2 linked regions of the Arabidopsis thaliana genome follow. The protein of the gene in region 1 interacts with the protein of each later gene in a biochemical or structural test. Each region holds a gene or a part of one and is shown in the gene's direction. Other genes may lie near its edges. The genes, in order: CAB2 and CAO.

The links.
Region 2: the proteins of CAB2 (region 1) and CAO form a complex in vitro, tested with the Arabidopsis thaliana proteins (one study listed by BioGRID).

Annotation. Positions count from the first base shown.
Region 1 is NC_003070.9:10,469,914-10,482,825, reverse strand, and holds CAB2 (chlorophyll A/B-binding protein 2), read left to right. Parts: upstream 1-6,856; 5' UTR 6,857-6,933; coding exon 6,934-7,737; 3' UTR 7,738-8,170; downstream 8,171-12,912. Other genes in the region: NRPA2 (nuclear RNA polymerase A2), read left to right, coding at 357-598, 686-841, 926-1,090, 1,164-1,238, 1,346-1,449, 1,547-1,622, 1,895-2,020, 2,128-2,268 and 3 more; CAB1 (chlorophyll A/B binding protein 1), read right to left, coding at 3,952-4,755; CAB3 (chlorophyll A/B binding protein 3), read left to right, coding at 9,580-10,383; CARB (carbamoyl phosphate synthetase B), read right to left, coding at 10,850-12,373, 12,478-12,912.
Region 2 is NC_003071.7:19,466,631-19,480,146, forward strand, and holds CAO (chloroplast signal recognition particle component (CAO)), read left to right. Parts: upstream 1-5,942; 5' UTR 5,943-6,150; coding exon 6,151-7,272; 3' UTR 7,273-7,757; downstream 7,758-13,516. Other genes in the region: AT2G47440 (Tetratricopeptide repeat (TPR)-like superfamily protein), read left to right, coding at 3,282-3,341, 3,426-3,805, 3,890-5,030; MYB12 (myb domain protein 12), read left to right, coding at 9,808-9,940, 10,735-10,864, 11,760-12,612.

The DNA of each region.
Region 1 (12,912 bases):
TCTTGACATTTGGTTAGACCAAGTTGGAGTTACATAGTTTATTTAAGCTTTAAAATATTAGAGAGATTTAGATAGAATCACGTTTGGTTAGAGTGTGTTATATTTCTCAAGGTAACTTATTATAGACTGGAGTTTCAAATAGTATTGTTATATTAGAGCATATTTTATTTCGTTTCCCTTTTTCTCCATTTATCTATAGTTTCTATTTGTGGATGCGATTAATATGCTTAAATGTTTAGTTCTTGTCATATTGTACCACAGTGGGGATTGTGTACACTCGTAATACCATTTAATATGTCACTTTTTTCCAGTAACAACTTTGCTTATTGTGTTCTGATTGGTCATTGTGTTTTCAGGAATCACTTCTCAGTTCGATTCCAAGGGAAACATCAGAGATTTTCTGAAAATAAGAAAGTCAGTTGTTGATGTTCTTACTGGGGCGGGTATGGTACCTTCATTGCCAAAGCTAGTACGAGCTGGACCACCAAAAGTCATCCATGTTCTTTTAGATGGTCAAGTTGTAGGCACGCTATCTTCTAACCTAGTCACGAAAGTTGTCTCTTATATACGGAGACTGAAAGTGGAGGCTCCTTCAGTGGTAAGGCGTATTTACTTCTTAACAGTATTTGTTGACGGCAACCTATTTCATTAGAAAATAACTATATATGCGAATGCTTCTTTACAGATTCCTGAAGACCTCGAAGTGGGATACGTACCTACAAGCATGGGTGGATCTTACCCTGGATTGTATTTGGCATCATGTCCCGCAAGATTCATTAGGCCTGTTAAAAATATATCTATACCTTCTGATAATATTGAACTGATTGGACCATTTGAACAGGTAGCAAATCCTATCAATATTATCTTCATATCCACCTTTCCTGGTATACAATCAAATGAAAAGAAAAAGATTCTACCAAACCAGGTTTTTATGGAAATAAGCTGTCCTGATGGTGGAAATGGAGGAAGGAATAACTCTTCCCTAGCAACTCACGAGGAAATTCATCCAACCGGGATGATAAGTGTGGTTGCTAATCTTACACCTTGGTCAGATCATAACCAAAGTCCCCGTAACATGTATCAGTGTCAGGTATTACTAGAAATTCGATGCAAATTTTTTATGATTATGCTGCTGGAAGTTTTTTAAATTTTCAGTTATACAGATGGCGAAACAAACCATGGCGTACTCTACTCAAGCACTCCAATTTCGTGCCGACCAGAAGATTTACCACCTGCAGGTCATTTCCTATCTTACTCTTAGAAAGCTGAAAGTACATGGTACAATTTTCAGTTGATCATTTCGTCTCTTTTGGTCCCATTATTAAATTCTTTTTGTATGCTACAGACTCCTCAATCCCCTGTGGTCCGCACAAAAACATACACCACTTACAGTATTGATGAGAATCCTACAGGGACTAATGCAATTGTTGCTGTCCTCGCACATACAGGGTAAGAAACTGCTTTTGCGTACAAGATCTTGTCAGTGATAAGCTTTTTTCGTTAATGTTTCTTCTCTTGTTCTTTTATCCACCTACCTGTCTCACAGATTTGATATGGAAGACGCGATGATTTTGAACAAATCATCTGTGGAGCGGGGAATGTGCCATGGGCAAATATACCAGGTTCGAGTTCCCATTCTCATTTCTTTATTAAGAGTCCTGCTGATTAGCTGAATATAGTGCTTAAGCTTGATGTAATAAGTTCCTTTGGGTCTGGAGCTTTATCATAATCCTGGTCAATGTCCCCTAGGTCAATGTCCCCTACACTTGTTCCTTTATGAACCCCATAAAAAAATCTTGTAGTTGCAGCGAGAGATTTAGTATCATTATACAAATCACCCAAATTTCTTATTTTTTTTTAATTTCCTAACCCTTGTCTTTATATGATCTCCCAGACAGAAAATATTGATCTTTCAGATCAGAATAGCCGATTTGATAGTGGTTCTAAAAGTTTTAGGAGGAGTACTAACAAAGCAGAACATTTTCGTATCGATGCTGATGGGTTACCATCTGTTGGACAGGTAAATAACTGCTTTCTATCCTCTCTATGTACTGTAAGTTAAATATTTAATTTTAGTTTCCTTGTCAACTTTCATAGAAACTCACTAATTTGTTGGGTTTAACGCAGAAATTATATCCAGATGAGCCGTATTGTAGTATCTATGATGAGGTAACTAACAAAACAAGGCACATGAAGCGTAAAGGTACCGACCCTGTCATAGTTGACTTTGTCTCTGTCGACATGAAAAGCAAGAAACATCCTCAAAGGGTGAGGTTTAACTCCAACTATCGCATAGACAGATTCCAATTGGCTTAAAATCTAATTTTCGAGTTTCTTGGCAGGCGAATATTCGTTTCCGGCATGCCAGAAACCCCATAATCGGTGACAAGTTCAGCAGTAGACATGGGCAAAAGGGTGTTTGTTCTCAATTGTGGCCTGATATTGACATGCCATTTAATGGAGTTACTGGAATGCGTCCAGATCTCATCATTAACCCGCATGCTTTCCCATCAAGAATGACAATTGCTATGCTTTTGGAATCTATTGCTGCTAAGGTATCCTTCAGAATTTTTCTCCTTAGAAATTTGTCTGATTCTTAGGTTCCATCGACGCTGATGCTGTGCATCTTCTTTTCATGTGTTGTTGAACCCTTCCCATTTTTATTTTTAGCTGGTAAGTAAAGTATATGTAATGCTTATATCCTCGGCTTTTACAGGGAGGTAGTTTGCATGGAAAGTTTGTAGATGCAACACCGTTTCGTGATGCAGTAAAAAAAACAAACGGAGAAGAGGAGAGCAAGTCCAGTTTGCTTGTTGATGATCTTGGCTCCATGTTAAAGGAAAAAGGGTTCAACCATTATGGTACCGAGACATTGTATAGTGGGTATTTAGGAGTAGAACTGAAGTGTGAGATATTTATGGGGCCTGTTTACTACCAGAGACTGCGTCACATGGTCTCAGACAAATTCCAGGTTTTTCGACCCTTCTGGCTTCATTTCTTTTATCATCCTGACATATAGTCTCCAACTGGCACTTGTCTCATCTTCGTGCTATATCTGAATCATAATACTCTGGCTTACAGGTTAGATCTACGGGACAAGTGGATCAGCTAACTCATCAGCCAATAAAGGGAAGAAAACGAGGTGGTGGGATTCGGTTTGGTGAAATGGAGCGAGACTCACTACTTGCTCATGGAGCCTCCTATCTATTACACGACAGGCTTCATACATCTTCAGATCACCACATTGCAGATGTGTGTTCGCTATGTGGAAGCTTGCTCACATCATCTGTTGTGAACGTTCAACAGAAGAAGCTTATTCAAGAAATTGGAAAGTTACCTCCTGGTAGAACTCCAAAGAAGGTAACTTGCTATTCTTGCAAGACAAGTAAAGGCATGGAAACAGTTGCAATGCCCTATGTGTTCAGGTACTTGGCTGCAGAGTTGGCTTCAATGAATATTAAGATGACTCTTCAGTTAAGCGATAGAGAAGGAGTAACTGATTAAGATTTTACACCAGAGGAAGAAAAAAATAACCAGATCTTTACAATGTACTAGTGTGTAGAAGAATATATTATTCATCAGTTTTTGGTTTTGCTTTGTTAGTATATTTTCTAGTGGAAAACGTCATCTATTTTTGGTCAAAGTGAATTTTTAAACAAATGTGTTTGATTTGTACGGATAAAATCAATGAATTTTTGATTCTCCAATACCATTAACTTAACTTTGACATGTATAAGTTGTTCAATTGTGGTAATAAACTCTGCAATTGAGTGATCCGAAGGACATAAAACGAATCCAATTTGGTAATTGCCAGATAATTTGAGAGAAAAACGAGTTATTTGATTAATGAAAAAAATACAAAGTCTTGCAAATTTTACATCTAAACAAGCTCTCTTTCTCCTCTCACACTCACGAAGCAAAGACTGAAGCAAAATACAGATAAAACTTGGCTCACTTTCCGGGAACAAAGTTGGTGGCGAAGGCCCATGCGTTGTTGTTAACTGGATCGGCCAAATGGTCAGCAAGGTTCTCTATCGGTCCCTTACCAGTGACGATGGCTTGAACGAAGAATCCAAACATAGAGAACATAGCCAATCTTCCGTTCTTGAGCTCCTTCACCTTCAACTCAGCGAATGCCTCTGGGTCGGTAGCCAAACCCAATGGGTCGAAGCTGCCACCGGGGTAAAGCAAGTCCTCGGCCTCTCCCAATGGCCCATTTCCTGCGACTCTGTAGCCTTCAACGGCTCCCATCAAAATAACTTGTGTGGCCCAAATGGCCAAAATGCTCTGAGCGTGAACCAAGCTAGGGTTTCCCAAGTAATCGAGCCCTCCATCGCTGAAGATCTGTGAACCGGCCTTGAACCAAACCGCCTCTCCGAACTTGACTCCGTTTCTAGCCAAAAGCTCAGGGAAGACGCAGCCTAGGGCTCCGAGCATGGCCCACCTGCTGTGGATAACTTCTAGTTCACGGTTCCTTGCGAATGTCTCGGGGTCAGCTGAAAGTCCGGCGGTGTCCCATCCGTAGTCTCCGGGGAACTCTCCGGTAAGGTAGCTCGGTGATTCGCCAGAGAATGGACCCAAGTACTTGACACGGTCAGATCCGTACCATGGGCTGCCTGATGGGCCCTTTGGCTTGGCAACAGTCTTCCTCATTGTCACACGGCCGCTTCCAAGGACTTCAGATGCCGCGGGGGAAAGCTTGACGGCCTTACCGGCGAAGGCAGGGGAGGAGAGAGCCATTGTTGAGGCGGCCATTGAGGTTGAGTAGTGCAGCACAAAGTAAAACGTTTAAGATTTGTTGTTGTAAGCCAAGAAATGGGTGGTTTGGTATTGATGCGATTTTCGCTATATATAATACAGAAATCTAAATACTGTCTTATCTTGAAATATCAATCTCTGAGGTTGCTATTGGCTAGTCATAGATTTTTTTTGGGGTTTAGATTGTTTGTTTGCTTACGTGGTTAATGGCTCGCACTTCGCAGATTCGCAATTGATATGTGTTTTAGATATCTAGGTGCGTTTCATGGATTGGCGAAACACCCACTCATGACGTGACACGTATACGAATAGATCTCTCTATCCTTATGAAATCCTGAGAGCATCAATGTAAACCAAAACAAAAAAAATTTGGATAATTGCCTTGTATAATACATTTTATTAAACCTTTTGTATATATGCTTCTTTTTTTTTTCTTCTTCTGATAATAATAATAACTCTTGGCTAGAGATAAAACATAAGAACAAAGTAGATAAAACTATAAAATTTATGTATGGAAATAAGATTATCTAAAACTACGGAATTGAATCAAACTTTACCACAGAAACATAAGAAATTATTACCATCTTAATTAGCACCTGTATTGACCATAATATTTTATTAGAAGAAGAAGAAAACATTGGAATCCACCAGATCAAGGTGATGGTCAGGGTCATAAGACAGCTCCATAATCACGAGTCATGGTCATAGACTCATAGCCACAAGTCTGCTTCTCCCTTACCAATACCAACGGCTTCAACAACGGCCACAACTAATAAGCCAATTCCAACGGCCACCATATAACTGAACCGGATATTCACCAAACCCATTTCAACCGGAAATTGATCCACAAGTAATTAAAAATGTTCTGACCAAATGTGGAATAGGTGGGAAAATGTTGAAGTAAAGGCCAATTCTATAATGTGAGAGGAAAACTCTTTTTTGAGCTTCAGGAATATTTTCTTAGACCTGACCTTGAATCTATATTTTGTAGTTCTTCAATGATTTGATTTCTCTATTCATTTCCTTATAAATTAAATTACTTGTGAAATGAATTTCTGTTTAGAAAAACCTTGAACTTCCTAGTTGACCAAAGGATTAGAAAATCTTTCTAAGTGGAGTGTCTCCTAATAATGGATCAAAAGTGTTTGGAGCAAAAAAGAACGCATAGTGTATTAGTGTTAACAGCTTTTATAGTTCAAAGTTTAGAATGTGCTCTAAAGCATATGTGTGAGCCTGTGAGGTCTAGTGATTGTAAAAAAGAAAAATTGTGCTTCGTGGAAAGTGATGCAATAAACAACACTTCTAGGGCTGAGTAAAACCAACTAGACATGTAATGATAGCTTAAACCGTTTTCTATAGGAGTGTGATTGAGGAGTAATTTGTTGATGAATTCGGAAAAAGCGAATAAATAAGTTTGTTCAAAAGGTTGTTGAAGTTTACAATAAAGATAACTTGAATCATGATAAGAAAAAAAGTAGCTATATGTTCTCTAAAGTCTAAACCCATGATGATGAACATGCCATATGAATTAATATAGTTCTTTCATGTTCTTAGAAATGGTCGATAAGTTAAAACAGTGTTTCATTAATCGTTGTGTTTCTTCGATAAAGAGTAAAACGTCAAAGTTTTAAGGTGATATCACATAATTCATGAGATTATTTTGGTTATTGGATAAAGTGACGATGAAATCGATTCATAATTGAAATTAAACTGGTAGTGATGATGAACTAATTACCATTGAAAATATTGATATTTATGTGTGGGTAAATGCTTTTTATAATGTTACTTTATATTAATGTTTCGATCATCAGAATCTATATTTTCAAAATGTTATACTTTAAGTTTTAGTTATTGGGTTGTAGCAAAAATCATTCTTGTCACGAGGGTGTAAGTAAGTGTAACCGTTGAAGTATTCAGTGGCTCATAACTTGTGGTCACAAAACGCTTGGCTGCAATGAAAAAATCAAAACAAATGCTGGTGGACTAGAGATTGCCACGTAAGACTACTAAACGATAAAACAAAAATCTTAAAATCCAATGAATGAACAGATAAAGATTACTTCAGATATAACAAACGTTACAATATCCCTATATAATCCAACACTATCGAACCAGTTTTAATCACTCTCACTCACAAGTTAGTCATAAAAAAAAAAAAAACACAAAAAAGTTTCAATGGCCGCCTCAACAATGGCTCTCTCCTCCCCTGCTTTCGCCGGAAAGGCTGTGAACCTTTCCCCTGCGGCATCAGAAGTCCTTGGAAGCGGCCGTGTGACAATGAGGAAGACTGTTGCCAAGCCAAAGGGTCCATCAGGCAGCCCATGGTACGGATCCGACCGAGTCAAGTACTTGGGTCCATTCTCTGGCGAGTCACCCAGCTACCTTACCGGAGAGTTCCCTGGAGACTACGGATGGGACACAGCTGGTCTATCCGCTGACCCCGAGACATTCGCAAGGAACCGTGAGCTAGAAGTTATCCACAGCAGGTGGGCCATGCTCGGAGCCCTAGGCTGCGTCTTCCCTGAGCTTTTGGCCAGGAACGGAGTCAAGTTTGGAGAGGCAGTTTGGTTCAAGGCTGGTTCACAGATCTTCAGCGATGGAGGGCTCGATTACTTGGGAAACCCTAGCTTGGTTCACGCTCAGAGCATTTTGGCCATTTGGGCCACACAAGTTATTTTGATGGGAGCCGTTGAAGGTTACAGAGTCGCAGGAAATGGGCCATTGGGAGAGGCCGAGGACTTGCTTTACCCCGGTGGCAGTTTCGACCCATTGGGTTTGGCTACCGACCCAGAGGCCTTCGCTGAGTTGAAGGTAAAGGAGCTCAAGAACGGAAGATTGGCTATGTTCTCTATGTTTGGATTCTTCGTTCAAGCCATCGTCACTGGTAAGGGACCGATAGAGAACCTTGCTGACCATTTGGCCGATCCAGTCAACAACAACGCTTGGGCCTTTGCCACCAACTTTGTTCCCGGAAAGTGAGCCAAGTTCTATCTGTTTGTAATTTACTTTTCTTTCAATCTTTTGAATTCGAGTGAGAGACAGGAGGAGAAAGAGTAGGTTTGTGTTTGTGGTGGATGGTAGAGACTTTCAGATGTAAATTTGCAAAGACTTTGTATGATTTGTCATTAATCAAATAACTCATTGTTCTCTAAATATGTTTCGTAGAACTATAATTGAATTGGATTTTCAGTTCTTGGGTTCACTCCGTTGTAGAGGCTATTTCTACAATCGAGCAACGTGATTGAACATATTAAGGCAATGGGTACAAAGATTATGTTCTTTTCAAATCAAGAGAAAATGTGATTCTCGGATGTTAGCTTGAACAACACGAAAGAGTCTTTTATATAAGTTTTTTATATTCCCTTGATTTAACTTGTATATCGTCTCTTCACAAAATATGATCGCATTGAAGAAGAAATTGCAATCGTTTTTTTTCTTCTGATTGAGAGAATTAGAGAATAGATAATGAAGTAGTTTCTTCCGTGTTTGGTTGATTCTGAAGCTCGTAACATTGGCTCATACGATATCTGGATAACAATATATCACATTGCTCTGATACCATATTAAAATCACATCCACGCATTGAATGGACTGATCATATATCTTACATATTAGTTAAAATCCATTGTCGTGCGAGAGATTGCCTTCCGTGACATCCTCTGTGGACCAGGTTCGCTTGTCACACTAGCTATAATTGGTGAACACATGATAACATATATGTTTGGAGCATAGAAGAGCTAGCGCCTGTGTCATTGGTGTGTGGTATCGAAAGAACAAGAGAATAGAACAGGAGAACATGAATATAGCTAGGTTTATTCATTTTCACCCCAAAGCTTAGAAATTGCGTTCCAAAGAGTGGGTGAATTCATGTGTGAGGGCAATTAGTGATTGTAAAAATAAAATTGTGTTTTGTAAAAAACTTTTACTGTCGAAATTATTTAGGGTGATGAAAAAATCAGTAAACTACGAATGATAGCTTAAAGAGTTTCTATCAAAGTGATTGAGGAATAGTTTGTTGCAAATTAAACCTCTAACAAAATGTTTTCTGTTGTGGTTTTTCATCTCTACAAATTTTGAATTTTATGATGAATTAGAAAGATAGAATGAGTTACTTTAGATTTTAAAAGGTTGTTCAAGTTTACAAAACAGATTACTAGAATCATGATTAAAAATTTACAAGCTACATATTGTCTAAACCAATGATGTTGAACATACCAGATGATAGTTTTTCAGTGTTTGAACAATCAATTGGATAGTTTTTATGTTTCTGCAAAATATGCAAATAATCAGTGTTTTTGAGTCTTTGCATTTTGATTTAAAAGCAAAAACAACTGAGTTTCAAGGTTAAATTAATTACATTATTCATGAGATTTATCAGGTTAGTGGATAAACTGACAATGGAATCAATGTTATTGTAAATTGGTAGTGATGTTGGACTTCTAATGTTACTCTCTATGATGTTTCGGTCATCAATATCACACTATCTTTACTTTTATTTAAAGGAAAGATCACACAAATAAGTTATCTCTATTCAGAACTATTAAGCTGCTTCCAAAAGACTTGCAACATGTGGTCTCGAAATGCTTTGGCTGCAATGAAAAAATCATAGCAAAAGCTAGTGGACTAGAGACTGCCACATAAGAATAGTAAACGTTAAAACCAAAATCTCAAAAATCCAATGAGTAAAGAGATATAGATTACTTCATAGATAACAAACGTTACTCGCAATTTTCCTATATAATCCAACCCTACCTAACCATTTTCAATCACTCTCACTCACAAGTTAGTCACCAAAAAAAAAAAAAAACACAAAAAGTTTCAATGGCCGCCTCCACAATGGCTCTCTCCTCCCCTGCCTTCGCCGGAAAGGCTGTGAACCTTTCCCCCGCGGCATCTGAAGTCCTCGGAAGCGGCCGTGTGACAATGAGGAAGACTGTTGCCAAGCCAAAGGGTCCATCAGGCAGCCCATGGTACGGATCCGACCGAGTCAAGTACTTGGGTCCATTCTCTGGCGAGTCACCGAGCTACCTTACCGGAGAGTTCCCCGGAGACTACGGATGGGACACCGCTGGACTTTCAGCTGATCCCGAGACATTCGCAAGGAACCGTGAGCTAGAAGTTATCCACAGCAGGTGGGCTATGCTCGGAGCCCTAGGCTGCGTCTTCCCTGAGCTTTTGGCTAGGAACGGAGTCAAGTTCGGAGAGGCGGTTTGGTTCAAGGCCGGTTCACAGATCTTTAGCGATGGAGGACTCGATTACTTGGGAAACCCTAGCTTGGTCCACGCTCAGAGCATTTTGGCCATTTGGGCCACTCAAGTTATCTTGATGGGAGCTGTTGAAGGCTACAGAGTCGCAGGAAATGGGCCGTTGGGAGAGGCCGAGGACTTGCTTTACCCCGGTGGCAGCTTCGACCCATTGGGTCTTGCTACCGACCCAGAGGCTTTCGCGGAGTTGAAGGTGAAGGAGCTCAAGAACGGAAGATTGGCTATGTTCTCTATGTTTGGATTCTTCGTTCAAGCCATTGTCACTGGTAAGGGACCGATAGAGAACCTTGCTGACCATTTGGCCGATCCAGTCAACAACAACGCATGGGCCTTCGCAACCAACTTTGTTCCCGGAAAGTGAGCCAAGTTTTATCAGTTTGTATTTTGCTTTTCTTTCAGTCTTTTGAATTCGAGTGAGAGACATGAGGAGAAAGAGAAGGTTGTATGTGATGGTTTGAGACTTTCAGATGTAAATTTGCAAGACTTTGTATGATTTGTCATTAATCAAACTCAATTTTCTCTCATACTAGTCTCGTATTAACTAAAATTCAAATGGAATGTTCTTGGGTTCGCTCAAATGAAGAGGCTGTTTCTACAATTGCACAATCTTATAGAACATAACTCGAGTTTAAGCCAAGCGTTACATGACCTGATACAATCAAAGGCTTGTGTATATCTGAATTAAAGGAACAAAGCCGATTGATAAATCACAAGTTTGCTGCATTTTCGAAGATTATTCATAGAAATGCTTATGGGTAACAAAATCCGTTAAAATTTATCGTAAAAAAGTTCCACACAAACGATCAACACACAACAAAAAAACTAACTCAGACGAGCAAAGAAGATACATTCTTTACCTCAAAGAAGTCCTGAAGAGCGGTCATTTTAATGGCACTTGACTTCAAGCTCTTGATTCCCTCAGCAGTGGCCAATGCACCAGCAACAGTGGTTATAACAGGTACCTTGTATGCTAGAGCCATTTGTCTGAGCTGTCTCCCATCTTTCTGATCAAGAGCATCACCCGAGCTTGTGATCAACATCAAATGGATCTGACCATTCGCCACCATATCAGCAGCATGTGGTCTTCCTTCATGCAACTTCAACACTCTCTCCACTGGAATGCCTTTCAGTTCCAGGAAATGAGCTGTTCCCGAGGTGGCAACTATTTTGAACCCAAGCTCGAGGAAGGACACCGCGATTTTCTCCAGGTGCGGTTTGGTCATATCGTTTAAGCTGAGGAAGACTGTGCCTGATAGAGGTAGCTTTTGACCTGCAGCGATCTGAGCCATTGCAAACGCACTTGAGAATTCAGAACTGATGCTCATCACTTCTCCTGTGCTTCTCATCTCTGGCCCGAGTATCACATCGCATCCTTGGAACTTCTCAAACGGGAAAACAGCTTCTTTCACAGAGACATGTTTAGGGATAACTTCTTTTTCAAAGTTAAGATCTTTGAGAGATTTGCCCGACATGACCAGCGCTGCATACTTGGCAAGAGGGTGTCCAATGGCTTTTGACACAAAAGGGACAGTACGGGAAGCTCGGGGATTGGCTTCCAGCAAAAAAACATCCCCAGATGTTGTGATTGCGTACTGACAGTTCATCAGCCCACATACATTTAGCTTCTTCGCCAGCTTAGTGGTCCATGTTCGAATAGTTTGCAAACAAGAAGCTGGGATGGTTTGTGTTGGAAGCATACAAGCTGAGTCACCAGAATGCACACCAGCTTGTTCGATATGCTCCATTATTCCACCAATCACCACATTTCCATAGGAATCAGTAAGGGTATCAACGTCGATCTCAATGGCATCAGAAAGATATTTATCTACCAAAACAGGTCTCTCTGGGTCAACTTGTACCGCATTTTCCAAATAGGTTATTAGTCTACTGTCATCATAAACGATCTCCATTGCTCGTCCACCTAGAACATAAGAAGGTCTTACCACAACTGGGTACCCTACCTCCTTTGCTATGGCTAATGCATCAGCTTCGCTCTTTGCAATGCCTCCCTTGGGCTGCTCAATCTTCAGCTCGTCGAGAATTGCATTGAACCTCTCTCTGTCTTCAGCAGCGTCAATGGAGTCAGGTGATGTACCCCAGATGCGAACAGGTCCCGCTCCGCTCAAGCTCATGGGCATGTGCTTATCCAAATAATGTTTGATCGGCAGAGCAAGTTTCAGAGGAGTTTGACCACCAAATTGCACTATTATGCCATCAGGTTTCTCAAGGTCGATAACATTGAGAACATCCTCGATTGTGAGAGGTTCAAAATAGAGCCTATCGCTTGTATCATAATCTGTGGATACTGTTTCAGGATTTGAGTTCAACATTATGGTCTCATATCCAGCATCCTGCAAATAAATTAAAAAAAGTAGATAAGTAAGTTTAGCATAAAAAAGTTGAAACAATGTTTACTGGCTTTTGGGAGAGACGCTTAGATTGTCTAAAGACATACCTGTAAGGCGAAAGATGTGTGGCAACAACAGTAATCAAATTCAATCCCTTGACCAATGCGGTTTGGCCCTCCACCCAAAATCAAAACCTTCTTCTTGTTGTTTGGAGCTGATTCACATTCAACATCATATGAAGAGTACATGTATGGTGTATGCGCTTCGAACTCTGCAGCACATGTATCCACTCTCTTGTAAGATGGAACAACTCCTAGAGAAATCCGCTTGGTACGGACTTCTTCCTCGGTTGTCTTTGTAGCAAAAGCGATTTGCTTGTCACTAAATCCCCGCTTTTTGACTTCGTAAAGGTCTTCTTTTGTAATCTCTGACAAGGTTCCGGACATAAGATACTGTTCGACGTCCACGAGCTCTTTAAGCTGGGTTAGGAACCACTTGTCCACCATGCTCAACTCGTAGATTTCATCAATTTTCATACCCTT
Region 2 (13,516 bases), on another chromosome or scaffold:
ATTTTAGTCTAAGCGATTTTGTGGACTTAAACTCGTATTTATTAGAGGTTTTTTTTAATAAACTAAAGAAAAATAATAAGAGTATTTATCCAAGTATTATATTGAATGAAATCTTTTATATCTGAGATCGAAAAAATGTCCAATATAGTTTAGCTGTTTAAGATCATTTTGTATATTCGTCATTTTGTGCCTCCTCGGATACAAACATGCTTAAAGAATGGGGACCGTTAATTACGTTTAATCAAACCTAAAGCTATTTGAAAACTTAACTAAGGATGATAAAATGAAATGAGTATAGTAAAATATCTTCTCGATATATGTCATTATAATAACAGATAGATTCCCAGTGCTTTAAATTTACTCGAACCATCCTGGCAAAATCTGTGACCACTAGCTTTAAACCTAACGTCTTCATCAATGACAGTGTCTGATATATATGTATATGAGAATAAATTTATAATTTCTCCCCTGTACGTTAACGTTGTGTCTCAATGTAATTATAATTACTATTAGCTCACGTAATGAGTGCAGGATTAAGATTATTGAATTCGAAATGAATATATTTGGACTCACCCATATAACATATATATATATACAGGTCCAAATAAATGCGGGAGGAAAATTGTACCTGTAAAATAACCAATTAATCATATTTTTCTTTCTTTCTTGTTGTTGGATTATAGTGATTTTCTTATCTAGGAAAATAGAGTTCCCAATTATAAGGGCTAACTGTCCCTTGACAGAAAAAAAGAATCCTATGAGAAGAAAATTGAATGATATTTGCATCTATCTATAATCGTTTCATTTGATTTTACTATTAGCAACAAATTTATTTGATTTAATACAAACTTCAAAGGAAGTCGAGGCAGAACCAGAACATGTGTTTTTTCCACTTATGCATTTATTTGTTTATGATGAGCCTGTCCTTTTTGTTTTTGCCCTCTTCTTATTTTATGTACCACAAACTCCATCAACGCGATATATCACGGGTATTCTTTTTTTCCATTGTTTTATACAAACTATTGTAACTAGCATTATATATATAAAAAAGGACTTTAATTTTGTAGTTTTTATACGTAACGACTGTTCATATCATTGACTTTATACCTTTATACGAAACCTTTTTCACGTATAGAAAATTATATCTAAGTTTTTATTATAAATGTTTTTGTTATTGTTAACCTACTTTAACAAGAAGAAGAAGAAAAAAAAATAGGAAAGGTTTTGTTGTAAGAAATTGTATTAAAAAATAACATATTTACAACACGATGTGCTGTTATAAAAGCAAACTTATGAGTCCGAATGTTTTTGATCTGATTTAAAATACCAAAAACTAAAAAAGAAAAGAAAACACACAATGACTTTAATATGTAAAATACAAACAAATGTTGCAAAAGAAATTAAGAGAGTTTGGTAATGCCAAATAGGCAAAAGAATAATTTATGTGTGGCAAGCAATGAACAAAGCTGAGCTGTACATGTACCACACCTTTCATTCATTGGTTACCATCTAACTGAAAGTGACACGTGTCTTATAATCAACAAGGCTTTTCTGACGTGGCAGTGCATTTAATTATTTGATTTGACAAGTTTAGGCTATCGTTGTCAAACAAATTAACTTAATTGTATCAAAATTGCTCGCACAGTACGTAATTCTATTTTAAGTTTAAAATCAACGGAGACACTAGTGTCCTATTTAATTATCTCCAAGTAAAGAAAAGAAAAAATAAATATTTGTGCTTAGTTGATTAAAAATTAAAAAGCACGATTCTTGTCTTGAGCTCCTTACAGCTTACAAGATAATTAAGAACCAAATCACTTTTTTTGGTTAAAACAAATCATAATGTTAGAGGCTAGAGATACTTATGATGTTACCATGCACTTTCCCCTTAATAACTAGCTCACTTAATTACAGTAATACCATACAGTAATATCTACTTGATGTGCCTATTGAGTCATCGATCCAATGAACTTATTCACTGCTTCAATTTTATGAAATATCATTATTTTAACGTAAACATCATTACTAGTGTTTTTATCATCAAATTACCGATTTAGTGTAAGTAAATCGAATCAGTTTTTAAATACTGTTGGACACATATATACATAGACATGCCAATTACTCAAGTATCATGTTGGTTTGCATATACTCTAGTTTTAATCAGGGTTTATATTATTTCAATTTAAGTAAACGCATGCTAAATGATAGATCATGAAATAGAATTAGGGTATCCATTGTTTAATGAAATGAATCGTTGAACTGGTATAACATGCAAAAAGATAATGTATCCACTATGTAAGCATTATAAGGTGCCGCTATAACAAAAATATCCACATGGTCAAGACTGAAACGTCGCATTATCAAACAATATTACATGCTCAATTGTTAAATTTTCTAGCCAAATTAATAATATCGTCATGGAGGAAAAAAAATAGAGTTGAATAATTGGCAATGATCATAATGGATATGGGTTTCTCAAAAACGCAATCATATATCGTGCGACAAGGTTACAGTAATATAGATATCATGCTTATTCCAAAACGACGACTAAAACGTAAAAGATTACAGAACTAGTAAACGAGTATATAATGTTAGGGAATGTTCTTTAATTTATAATCTAGCTAGTATAAATCACATATCCTATTTCATATGCGAGATATGAACAACAAAGTAGTATACTTAATTGAATCAATAATAATCCAAATTAAATTTATATGGTTTAGATCATAGAGAACCTAAATATCTAAAACTAACAAAGTCTAAACCACCTCGATTAATTGGGAATAGGATGATAATATAAAGTCTAGATTTTGTTTTAGTTCAAAAATCGAAACAAAATCTTACTGTAATTAACTTACTACGTTCCCTTACTGAAGATTGATCACCACACGGTAAAAAAAACACCGTTAAAAGGTTAAACCAAAAATATTGCTAAGAAGACATTATTTGGTTAGTTGAATGAAAAATTAGGGAATGGGAAGTGTGAAACCTACCTAAAATATGGCTATGTAGATGATATTCATTGAAGAGAGAGAGAATATAGAAGTGTAAAAAGAGAAAATGGTGCCAGCTATGAATTAGAAGGATCAAAGCTTTCTCTGAAGCTGTCATCTATCTCTCTCTTTCCTTATAGTGCTCTGTTTCTCTCCACATTCACACACTCTCCCTCTCTCTCTCCATTATTAAATCACTTGTTGTTGTCTTTCTTTTTTCAAACCTTGGAAGCAAGGAATTCTTTTTTGATGATTTAATCGAAAGCTTCTTCCTCCAAACAAACATCAATGGCGGTTTATCCTAACGTTAATGGCGATAAGAAGCACTGGTGGTTCACTCACAGAAAGGTATAAGCGATCTCTAACCTGGAAATACAGTTCTTGATTCAAAGATCATCATCAATCATGTTAACTTTTTTTGGGTTTTCTCAGCTTGTTGATAAGTATATAAAGGATGCAACAACTTTAATGGCAAGTGAGGAGGCAAACGACGTCGCTTCAGCTCTTCATTTACTAGACGCAGCCTTATCTATCTCCCCGCGTTTGGAAACTGCGTTAGAGCTCAAGGCTAGATCTCTCCTCTTCCTCCGTCGTTTCAAGGATGTCGCCGATATGCTTCAGGATTATATCCCCAGTCTTAAACTCGACGACGAAGGATCCGCTTCTTCTCAAGGCTCTTCTTCCTCCGACGGTATCAACCTTCTCTCCGACGCCTCTTCCCCTGGCTCCTTTAAATGCTTCTCTGTTTCCGACTTGAAGAAGAAAGTCATGGCAGGCATTTGTAAAAAATGCGACAAAGAAGGGCAATGGAGGTAATATAACTTTTAACTCTCTTTTTTGTTTTACTTATTACTTTCAAGCAAAACGCAATCGTTGATTTTTAAACGCTGTTTCAGGTATGTGGTGTTGGGTCAAGCTTGTTGCCATCTAGGACTAATGGAGGATGCCATGGTTCTCCTACAAACCGGTAAACGCCTCGCCTCCGCCGAGTTCCGTCGCCGGAGTATTTGCTGGTCCGACGATAGCTTCCTTCTCCTCTCCGAATCCTCCTCTGCTTCTTCTCCACCACCCGAGAGCGAGAACTTCACCCATCTCCTCGCTCACATCAAGCTTCTTCTCCGTCGTCGCGCCGCTGCAATCGCCGCTCTCGACGCTGGACTGTTCTCCGAGTCGATCCGTCACTTCTCCAAGATCGTCGATGGCCGTCGCCCTGCGCCTCAAGGATTCCTCGCCGAATGCTACATGCATCGAGCCGCCGCTTATAGATCCGCCGGTAGAATCGCGGAAGCGATCGCCGATTGCAATAAAACCCTAGCTCTTGAACCCTCGTGTATCCAGGCGTTAGAAACCAGAGCCGCGCTTCTAGAAACGGTCAGGTGTTTTCCAGATTCGCTTCACGATCTAGAACACTTGAAGCTTCTCTACAACACCATTTTACGCGATCGGAAGCTTCCGGGTCCGGTGTGGAAGCGGCACAACGTGAAATACAGAGAGATTCCTGGGAAATTGTGCGTTTTGACAACGAAAACGCAGAAACTTAAGCAGAAAATCGCAAACGGAGAAACTGGGAATGTCGATTATTACGGCTTGATCGGAGTCAGACGCGGATGCACCAGATCGGAGCTCGATCGAGCTCATCTATTGCTATGTCTCAGATACAAACCCGATAGAGCCTCTTCTTTCATCGAACGGTGCGAGTTCACCGATCAAAACGACGTCGATTCGGTTAGAGATCGAGCCAAAATGTCGTCTCTGTTGCTTTACCGTTTGATTCAGAAAGGATACACCGCCGTGACAGCGATCATAGCCGAGGAGCAGAGGAAGAACGCCATTGCTCACGCTCAAAAGATTGAAGAACGCAAACCGGTTGAAAAATCCGGTTCTATTAAGAGAACCGGAAACGCTGAAACGAAACCGGTAAATTCCAATGCGTACCAAGGAGTATTCTGTAGAGATCTCGCTGCGGTTGGGAATCTACTAACCAGGGCTGGTTTCAACCATCCAATCCCGGTTAAATACGAAGCGCTCACCTGCTAAAAAATATTGAACCGAATTTTTTATCCTACCATGTCAGCCACTGGAAACGTCGTCGTTTCCGTAGATTCGTCTTCGGACAGAAAAACAAATCATTCAGCCGTCAAAAAAGAAAATAAAATAAGAAAATATATATACATTTGATGTATGAATACAAATGAAACAATGTATTTAGGTTTGGAAGATTATTCCAACTACAAGAAAATTTTGTCACTTTACTTTTATCTTCAATGTTCGTCTCCTTTGTTTCTTCTTCATCTTCATGTGCATATAAAACGACAGAAGCTTGATTTGCACGTAAATTAAAATACTAGTATCAAAACTTTTTTTTTCATTTTATTATCAAAATTATCTCTTAAGCTATTGAGCACTAATTTATTTTTTATTATTGAGTTCTCGAGATTTGCCTAGAAATAGTCGATGAGTCTGGCTCACGTCAGTAATATTCGGATGAGTCCTTATCTATAAAGTTTGGCTGCCATTTGATGGTATTGGGATGATTAATTTAATTAGGCAAATAAAATATAGATGGTGAAAACTAAATAAAAACTATTCACTTGCTGTATAATAATGTTAATACTCATATCATGTAAATCACTGAAGTGCAAATTCAAAAAAAAAAAAAAAAAAAAATGGTCTGCTTGCCATTTAAAGATGTTTAAAGATGGAGTAAGTATATATACACAAGTCGTAAAATCAAACACAAATAATATATTGACAAACTCATATATCATAATGTATACATACCAATTTAAATCCACAAGAAAATATCATATGAATGAGAAAACCAACCACATTTACAATTTTACTCATATTTATTTTATTGTTTTATATTTTTCTTTTCTTTTTGATGAGAATGTCTTAACACAATTATCTAGTATATAAAGATTTTTTCCAAAAAATAGAAGAACCTGTTGATTTTCTAAAAGTAGAAGAAAATAAGTGCAGTCCATAAAATAAAATCCTATAAAAATGTTAAAACTAGATTCTTTTTTAAAAAACTAAAATTTGCTGCAGACATCTAAAATTTTCGAAAATGATTGGGTGGCTAAGATTTCTTATCCACTAGAAAATCCAGTGAGTCCCGTTAACTCTCTTCTCTTCTCTAGTCTTGTCTTCTATTATGCAAAAGGTCTTCTTGGCCATGGATACTTGTGCTCTAGTAATCCATCAGTCTCTGTCTCGCATCAAACTTTCTCCTCCCAAATCTTCTTCTTCTTCTTCTTCTGCTTTCTCCCCTGAATCCTTACCGATCAGACGGATCGAGCTGTGTTTCCGAGGAGCTATATGTGCCGCCGTACAAAGAAACTACGAAGAAACGACCTCCTCCGTGGAAGAGGCAGAGGAAGATGATGAGTCATCATCATCGTACGGAGAAGTGAACAAGATCATTGGAAGCCGAACGGCGGGGGAAGGAGCCATGGAGTACCTTATCGAGTGGAAGGACGGCCATTCTCCGTCGTGGGTTCCATCGAGCTACATCGCAGCAGACGTAGTGTCGGAGTACGAGACACCCTGGTGGACGGCAGCTAGAAAAGCCGACGAGCAGGCCCTGTCACAGCTCCTGGAGGACCGAGACGTCGATGCCGTGGACGAAAACGGCCGGACGGCTCTGCTTTTCGTGGCAGGTCTGGGGTCGGACAAGTGCGTAAGGCTTCTGGCGGAGGCTGGAGCCGATCTCGACCACCGAGACATGAGGGGAGGCTTGACGGCGCTGCACATGGCGGCTGGTTACGTGAGGCCGGAGGTGGTGGAGGCGCTGGTGGAGCTGGGAGCTGATATTGAAGTGGAAGACGAGAGAGGGTTAACGGCGTTGGAACTAGCGAGGGAGATTCTGAAGACGACGCCGAAGGGGAATCCGATGCAGTTCGGGAGGAGAATTGGGTTAGAGAAAGTGATCAATGTCCTGGAAGGACAAGTGTTCGAGTACGCCGAGGTGGATGAGATCGTAGAGAAACGAGGGAAAGGCAAAGACGTTGAATATCTGGTCAGATGGAAGGACGGTGGAGATTGCGAGTGGGTGAAAGGTGTACACGTGGCGGAAGATGTGGCTAAGGACTACGAGGATGGGCTGGAGTACGCTGTAGCGGAGAGTGTGATCGGGAAGAGGGTGGGAGACGATGGGAAGACCATCGAGTATCTTGTCAAATGGACTGATATGTCTGATGCCACTTGGGAGCCTCAGGACAATGTCGACTCTACTCTTGTTCTACTCTACCAACAACAACAACCAATGAATGAATGATTGATTTTGATGATTACATTCTTCTCAATTTGCTTCTTTCTCATATGTGTTGGTTCATCTGACCGGTTCGGTTGGTACGTACCGGTACATTTTCATTTTCTTTTAAGATGTGATCTTGATGGTTTTTGGCCTTTTGGGGACACTATTTGATTTTATATCCATGCTTTGAATTTTGCTTCCCTTTTTGGGGAGATTCATGATGCTGGCTGACTTGCTCTTTATCGTCCCAGGTTTAGAGAATACATCGTCTTAGGCTTTTCTTTATCTCAAAACCCATTTACATTTAATTGGGCCTATATATTTCATATAGGAAGAGAGTACATGTAAACCCAATACACAACTTTTATTTATGGGTCCGTTTCTTGTAACATTTGTTGGTGATAAAAACAACTTCTGAAGAGTGATAATGTACAACTGCACTTTGCGATTAAGGAAATTATAGAAAGATACAAAGTCTGAATAAATGACTAGAAAATATGAATAAGTAGTATCCATTCTTCTCTAATTCAACATCATTTTTTTTTTTTTTTTTTTTTGACGATATTCGATGCATTGTGTCTATATGAGAGAAATTTTGGTTTGTCAGTTAATGGCTAGACTTTTATTATTATGAGCATCTAGATTTTCAGTGCATGTGATGTTACGTTGATGATGGACATAAGGAGACAAAAAGGACGGAGTTGATTTAGTACACATTTTCGTTTCTTTGTGAATACAACGATCGCCTATTTTTCGTTTGTAATTTTCCTCTTAATTCGAGAGGGGCCTCTAGTCATGTGTGTTACTTCTAGTTATAGTGACATGAACGGATGAGAAAAGTTTCTTTTTGTAAACAACATGCGTACGTAAATCAACCAAATATATTTAGTATAACAACCAAATTACTGTTGGACAACCAACCAAACAACAATTATGTAGATTATAGATTAGAGAAAACAAGGAACTAGGTCGATTAACCGCGACCACATTAGCCAAGTCCTCCAGTCGATTAATATAAATTGATGCCAAATATATTAGTTTTCACTGGGTTTTATATTATACTATCAGACCACAGAAGACATCACGTCACAGTTAACAACACTACATATTTCAGATTTTGTATGAAACGTAACTAGGTTTATATATGAGACCTTTTAACCAATTAAATGATAGTGATATGGTTTGTAACATTGTATTGTATGTATTTTAGTTGATGTGTGTGGTTGGTAAGGTATAAATTAGCTAGTGTTACGAAAAATGACTTCTTGCTTTTTCTTTCAAATTGAACGACGCTCTATTTCACTTAAATAAAACCACATTTAGTTATTTCAATGACAACATACTAAGTTTTTTCTTACATAAATTAAAAAGTAATTTTGGTTTCAGTCCAAATTTTTCTAGTTATAGGAAAGAAAATGAAAGAGTTGCTTTCAAAATATTGAATCCATTGTATTTAATTTTGAATATTGAATAGTATGTACTAAAGTCTTTTCTTTAGTAGACCAATCTAAATACGAACGAAAGTACCAAAACCATACGAAACGGCAAATAATGACATGTGGGGAACACGTAGTTAGATGAGCAGTAAATGGGAAACATATTTTGATGGTTGTCCTCATATTTTCGTGTATCGAGTTAGATAAGGAAACCTGTGAAAATTTATTTCTCAAAAGATTCCGTAAGATTCCGTCGAATATAATTGATATTTCAGTATTTTGGACTGGCAGCGAATATGGCAGACTATACAGATTGATCGTCTTCCGGCGTTGTTATAGACATTAACAAACTTTAACTACTCGTTTGCTTAATTAGGACCATCTGATGACTTTATTCTAAGTTCAAATTTAGATGACCTCTCTTTCTTGAACATATACTTGTTACATACTTAATTCATTGTGTTATTGCAATAAGTGAATTGTGTGGTTATCACTAACACGCTGACGTAAATTTACACGTGTTTATATGAACGCACACGTGTTTTGTAGCTCGAGCAAAAGACCATCTGGTCAACGGACTAGGAGGATCCGGCGTAAATCCTTTATATAATTTTTATCAAAATTATAAGAAGAACAAAAAATGTGCGATTACTATCTGATCTACGTATTCACGTGACAAACAACAATTAATTTCAATAAAGATCTACTAACTTTAGAGAAAAAATCTTATGTGTTAATAAAAAAGTAACGTCAATGATCTCGGCACACACTAGAATTAGTGTCTAAGAGAACCACGACGAACCTGCACGGACCGACCACGAGTCTCTCGACGGTGAATAAGCCACGACTTCAGTCTCCTTCTAAACCAACGTGGCGCTTCTTACACCACACACGTGTCATCATCTCCTTCTCCCTCGAACCCGCAAGCTCTTTTAATCCCTTTCAATTAATTAATTAACTATATATCACCTGCCCCTATATATATCTAAATCAGTCACTTTTTGCTTCTGTTGTCTGTCACTCAGTAACTTCTCTTTCTCACTTACACACTCTCTCTCTCTCTCTCCATTGCCTTGACTTTTGTGGTCAGTGGAATAAACACATATAACCGCCGGAGAAAATGGGAAGAGCGCCATGTTGCGAGAAGGTCGGTATCAAGAGAGGGCGGTGGACGGCGGAGGAGGACCAGATTCTCTCCAACTACATTCAATCCAACGGTGAAGGTTCTTGGAGATCTCTCCCCAAAAATGCCGGTAATAACATTTACACTTTTATTAACAAGATCATGCAACACAAACTTAATTTAATCTATAACAATGTATATATGAGAGAATAAGACATAGAGAAATAATCGTGGTTCTTGTCGTAATCTTCATGAAACATGGATTCTTAGTCAGTTTTTTTTTTTTGCTTTTGATAAAAGAATTAAGGATTGTTAGTAAGTTTTTTAAAAAATAAATTAAATTTTTAGGAAGGTTAGAAGTTTAACTGCAACCCTAATCTTTGTTTCCAATTTATTTCAGTTTTTGGGTTTTTCTTTTTTCGTGCGAATCACAGTCACGGTGGGTTGTTTAATGTAGATATATGTAAAATGCTGCCAAGTGCATGCTTTAAGAGGGTAGGTTATGTTATAGACTTATAGTATATGGACAAATGTTTAAAAGGAAATACAAACAGAAGCGTATTTATGTATTTTTGTCCGTTGTATATCATTTCAAGAATCAGATCAAAACCATATGACTAGTTTTGATTTGATTTCTAACCTCGCTTTTAATAGAAGGTTACTTAATGTAGTAGTTGAGAATTTTTTGTAGTTGTGATATATATTATATGCATAAGATATATGAATAAATACAATGATCAAAAAGCTAAGAATCTCGTGAGCAGTCACACATCAGACCCTAGTTAAATTAATAAATACCTGAAAACTTTATCAAAATTTATCTAACAAAATCTGCATAAACATATATTTTGACGTATGAATCTGCATCTAAATATGAAGTGTATTATTATATTGTTAATTGTTTTTATTTGTTTTTTGGAAAAGGATTAAAAAGGTGTGGAAAGAGCTGTAGATTGAGATGGATAAACTATCTAAGATCAGACCTCAAGCGTGGAAACATAACTCCAGAAGAAGAAGAACTCGTTGTTAAATTGCATTCCACTTTGGGAAACAGGTACTCTATTATTTTACTTTATTTTCCAAACTCTATTTTATTTATTATGTTTTTCATTTTTTCCCATTTATATTCGTTCAATTTGTTTTTATGCACTGTATCGTATAATAATGATATCATGTCGACCAAGTAAGTGGAGATTCGGTATTATAAGACGGCTTAATTACGATTATTCTCTCTCTTAAATACTATAAACTTTAGCGAAGCACATTTTTATGGTTGGAAAATTTAATTTAAAGTCGAAATGGTAAAATAAAAATACTATTTTATCGTCGAATGAGAAATAGTTATTTCGTTGTGGGTCTTCCTCTTAACCATTGGGGTGTTAGACTTTTTCTCTTTTAGTTGAGACAAACTAAATTGTACCTCATTTTTTTTACACTTCGTATATTACATAAGCATTAATAGGAACACAGTTGATATAACACATGTGCATCTGTACAACAACACTTCAAACAAAATACAGTCACATATGTATTGCAAGTTTTCAACATGAAAAACTAGTAAACATGAGAAAAAAAAAGCGAGGATCTGTTTATTTAAAATTTTAATTATTATTACTCAACGTTAAACAAGTATATGTGATTCATAGTAGTGTCCGCTAAAATAAATCCAATATTGGAAATCGGACAAGGAACTCAACGAGAGTAGTACGAATTAGTCATCGTCACTCATTACTGACATTGCTCGAGCGATGTCATGATTAGGTCAGCAGTCATATCAACATGGCAAATCAAATTTAGAACACTATTCTATTGATTCTCATTGGGCCACGAGGTTCTCTTATTCCCCGGAAAGATATTTAATTTTATCAAGGTTGTTCCAAATTGTGAATAGAGGATTAATATAATGCAATGAACAGAGGATTAATTATTGATTAATGCAATGCATGTAGGTGGTCACTAATCGCGGGTCATCTACCAGGGAGAACAGACAACGAAATAAAAAATTATTGGAACTCTCATCTCAGCCGTAAACTCCACAACTTCATTAGGAAGCCATCCATCTCTCAAGACGTCTCCGCCGTAATCATGACGAACGCTTCTTCAGCGCCACCGCCGCCGCAGGCAAAACGCAGACTTGGGAGAACGAGTAGGTCCGCTATGAAACCAAAAATCCACAGAACAAAAACTCGTAAAACGAAGAAAACGTCTGCACCACCGGAGCCTAACGCCGATGTAGCTGGGGCTGATAAAGAAGCATTAATGGTGGAGTCAAGTGGAGCCGAGGCTGAGCTAGGACGACCATGTGACTACTATGGAGATGATTGTAACAAAAATCTCATGAGCATTAATGGCGATAATGGAGTTTTAACGTTTGATGATGATATCATCGATCTTTTGTTGGACGAGTCAGATCCTGGCCACTTGTACACAAACACAACGTGCGGTGGTGATGGGGAGTTGCATAACATAAGAGACTCTGAAGGAGCCAGAGGGTTCTCGGATACTTGGAACCAAGGGAATCTCGACTGTCTTCTTCAGTCTTGTCCATCGGTGGAGTCGTTTCTCAACTACGACCACCAAGTTAACGATGCGTCGACGGATGAGTTTATCGATTGGGATTGTGTTTGGCAAGAAGGTAGTGATAATAATCTTTGGCATGAGAAAGAGAATCCCGACTCAATGGTCTCGTGGCTTTTAGACGGTGATGATGAGGCCACGATCGGGAATAGTAATTGTGAGAACTTTGGAGAACCGTTAGATCATGACGACGAAAGCGCTTTGGTCGCTTGGCTTCTGTCATGATGATATTGATTGATCCGTTATGTAATCTTTTTTGTGCATTCACAGTTTGAATCTATTCCACGTCGTATCATATCATAAAGTTTAGGATCTAAATATTAGTCCATTAGTTAAAATTATCTAATGCAATAAAACCCATGGGATGTTTGGATTGTACGTAAGGTTAAAATATTGCAGTCTTTGCTTTAGTGGAAGAATTAAACTAATATGATGTTTTTCTTTGTAACGTATTTACTATTTTCATGTAATTTAATAAAGAGGGTACGAAATGTAGGTGTACATTTGTTTGGGCTGTATATATTTCTATTGACATTAAATACGCCAAATTAGAAAAGAAAATCTTTAGTTGGAAGCATCTATTATATGTACCTCTTTCGGAATGTAAAATCACGTTTAATATTTCTGAACTGGTAATCAATCTCATCTCCTAAAATTTAATACATATCATCATTGTCAAACAATCGGAGTAGCGACGAGAACTATCATTGTTTTTCTCTTGTGATATTGCCGGCCAAATATTATTACCTCAATCATTTTGAAGCGAGTAAACATAGTTTTTTTCCCCCTTTTTTTTGTTCTTGTACACCAACAGAAAGCTGCATCACATCTGCGAATCATCACGTGCCATTCAAGTGATTACTGGAACGTGACATGAACGAATCTTCACATTGAGTGTTCCAACTCTCCTTTGTACGAAACTCCAAACAAGTAGATATATATTCAATTATTATGGATGTTGGAACAATCAAATTAACTCTTGTCCTTCTTATCGTAGAGACATGAAATTAACCCAATTCTGTAAATGAGTAGTAAGTAATCTATATATATATAGTTGACAACAGATAACACTATAATATATGCGTCCTTATAATGTTAATGTAATTATCATGGTTTGAGTTAACGTATA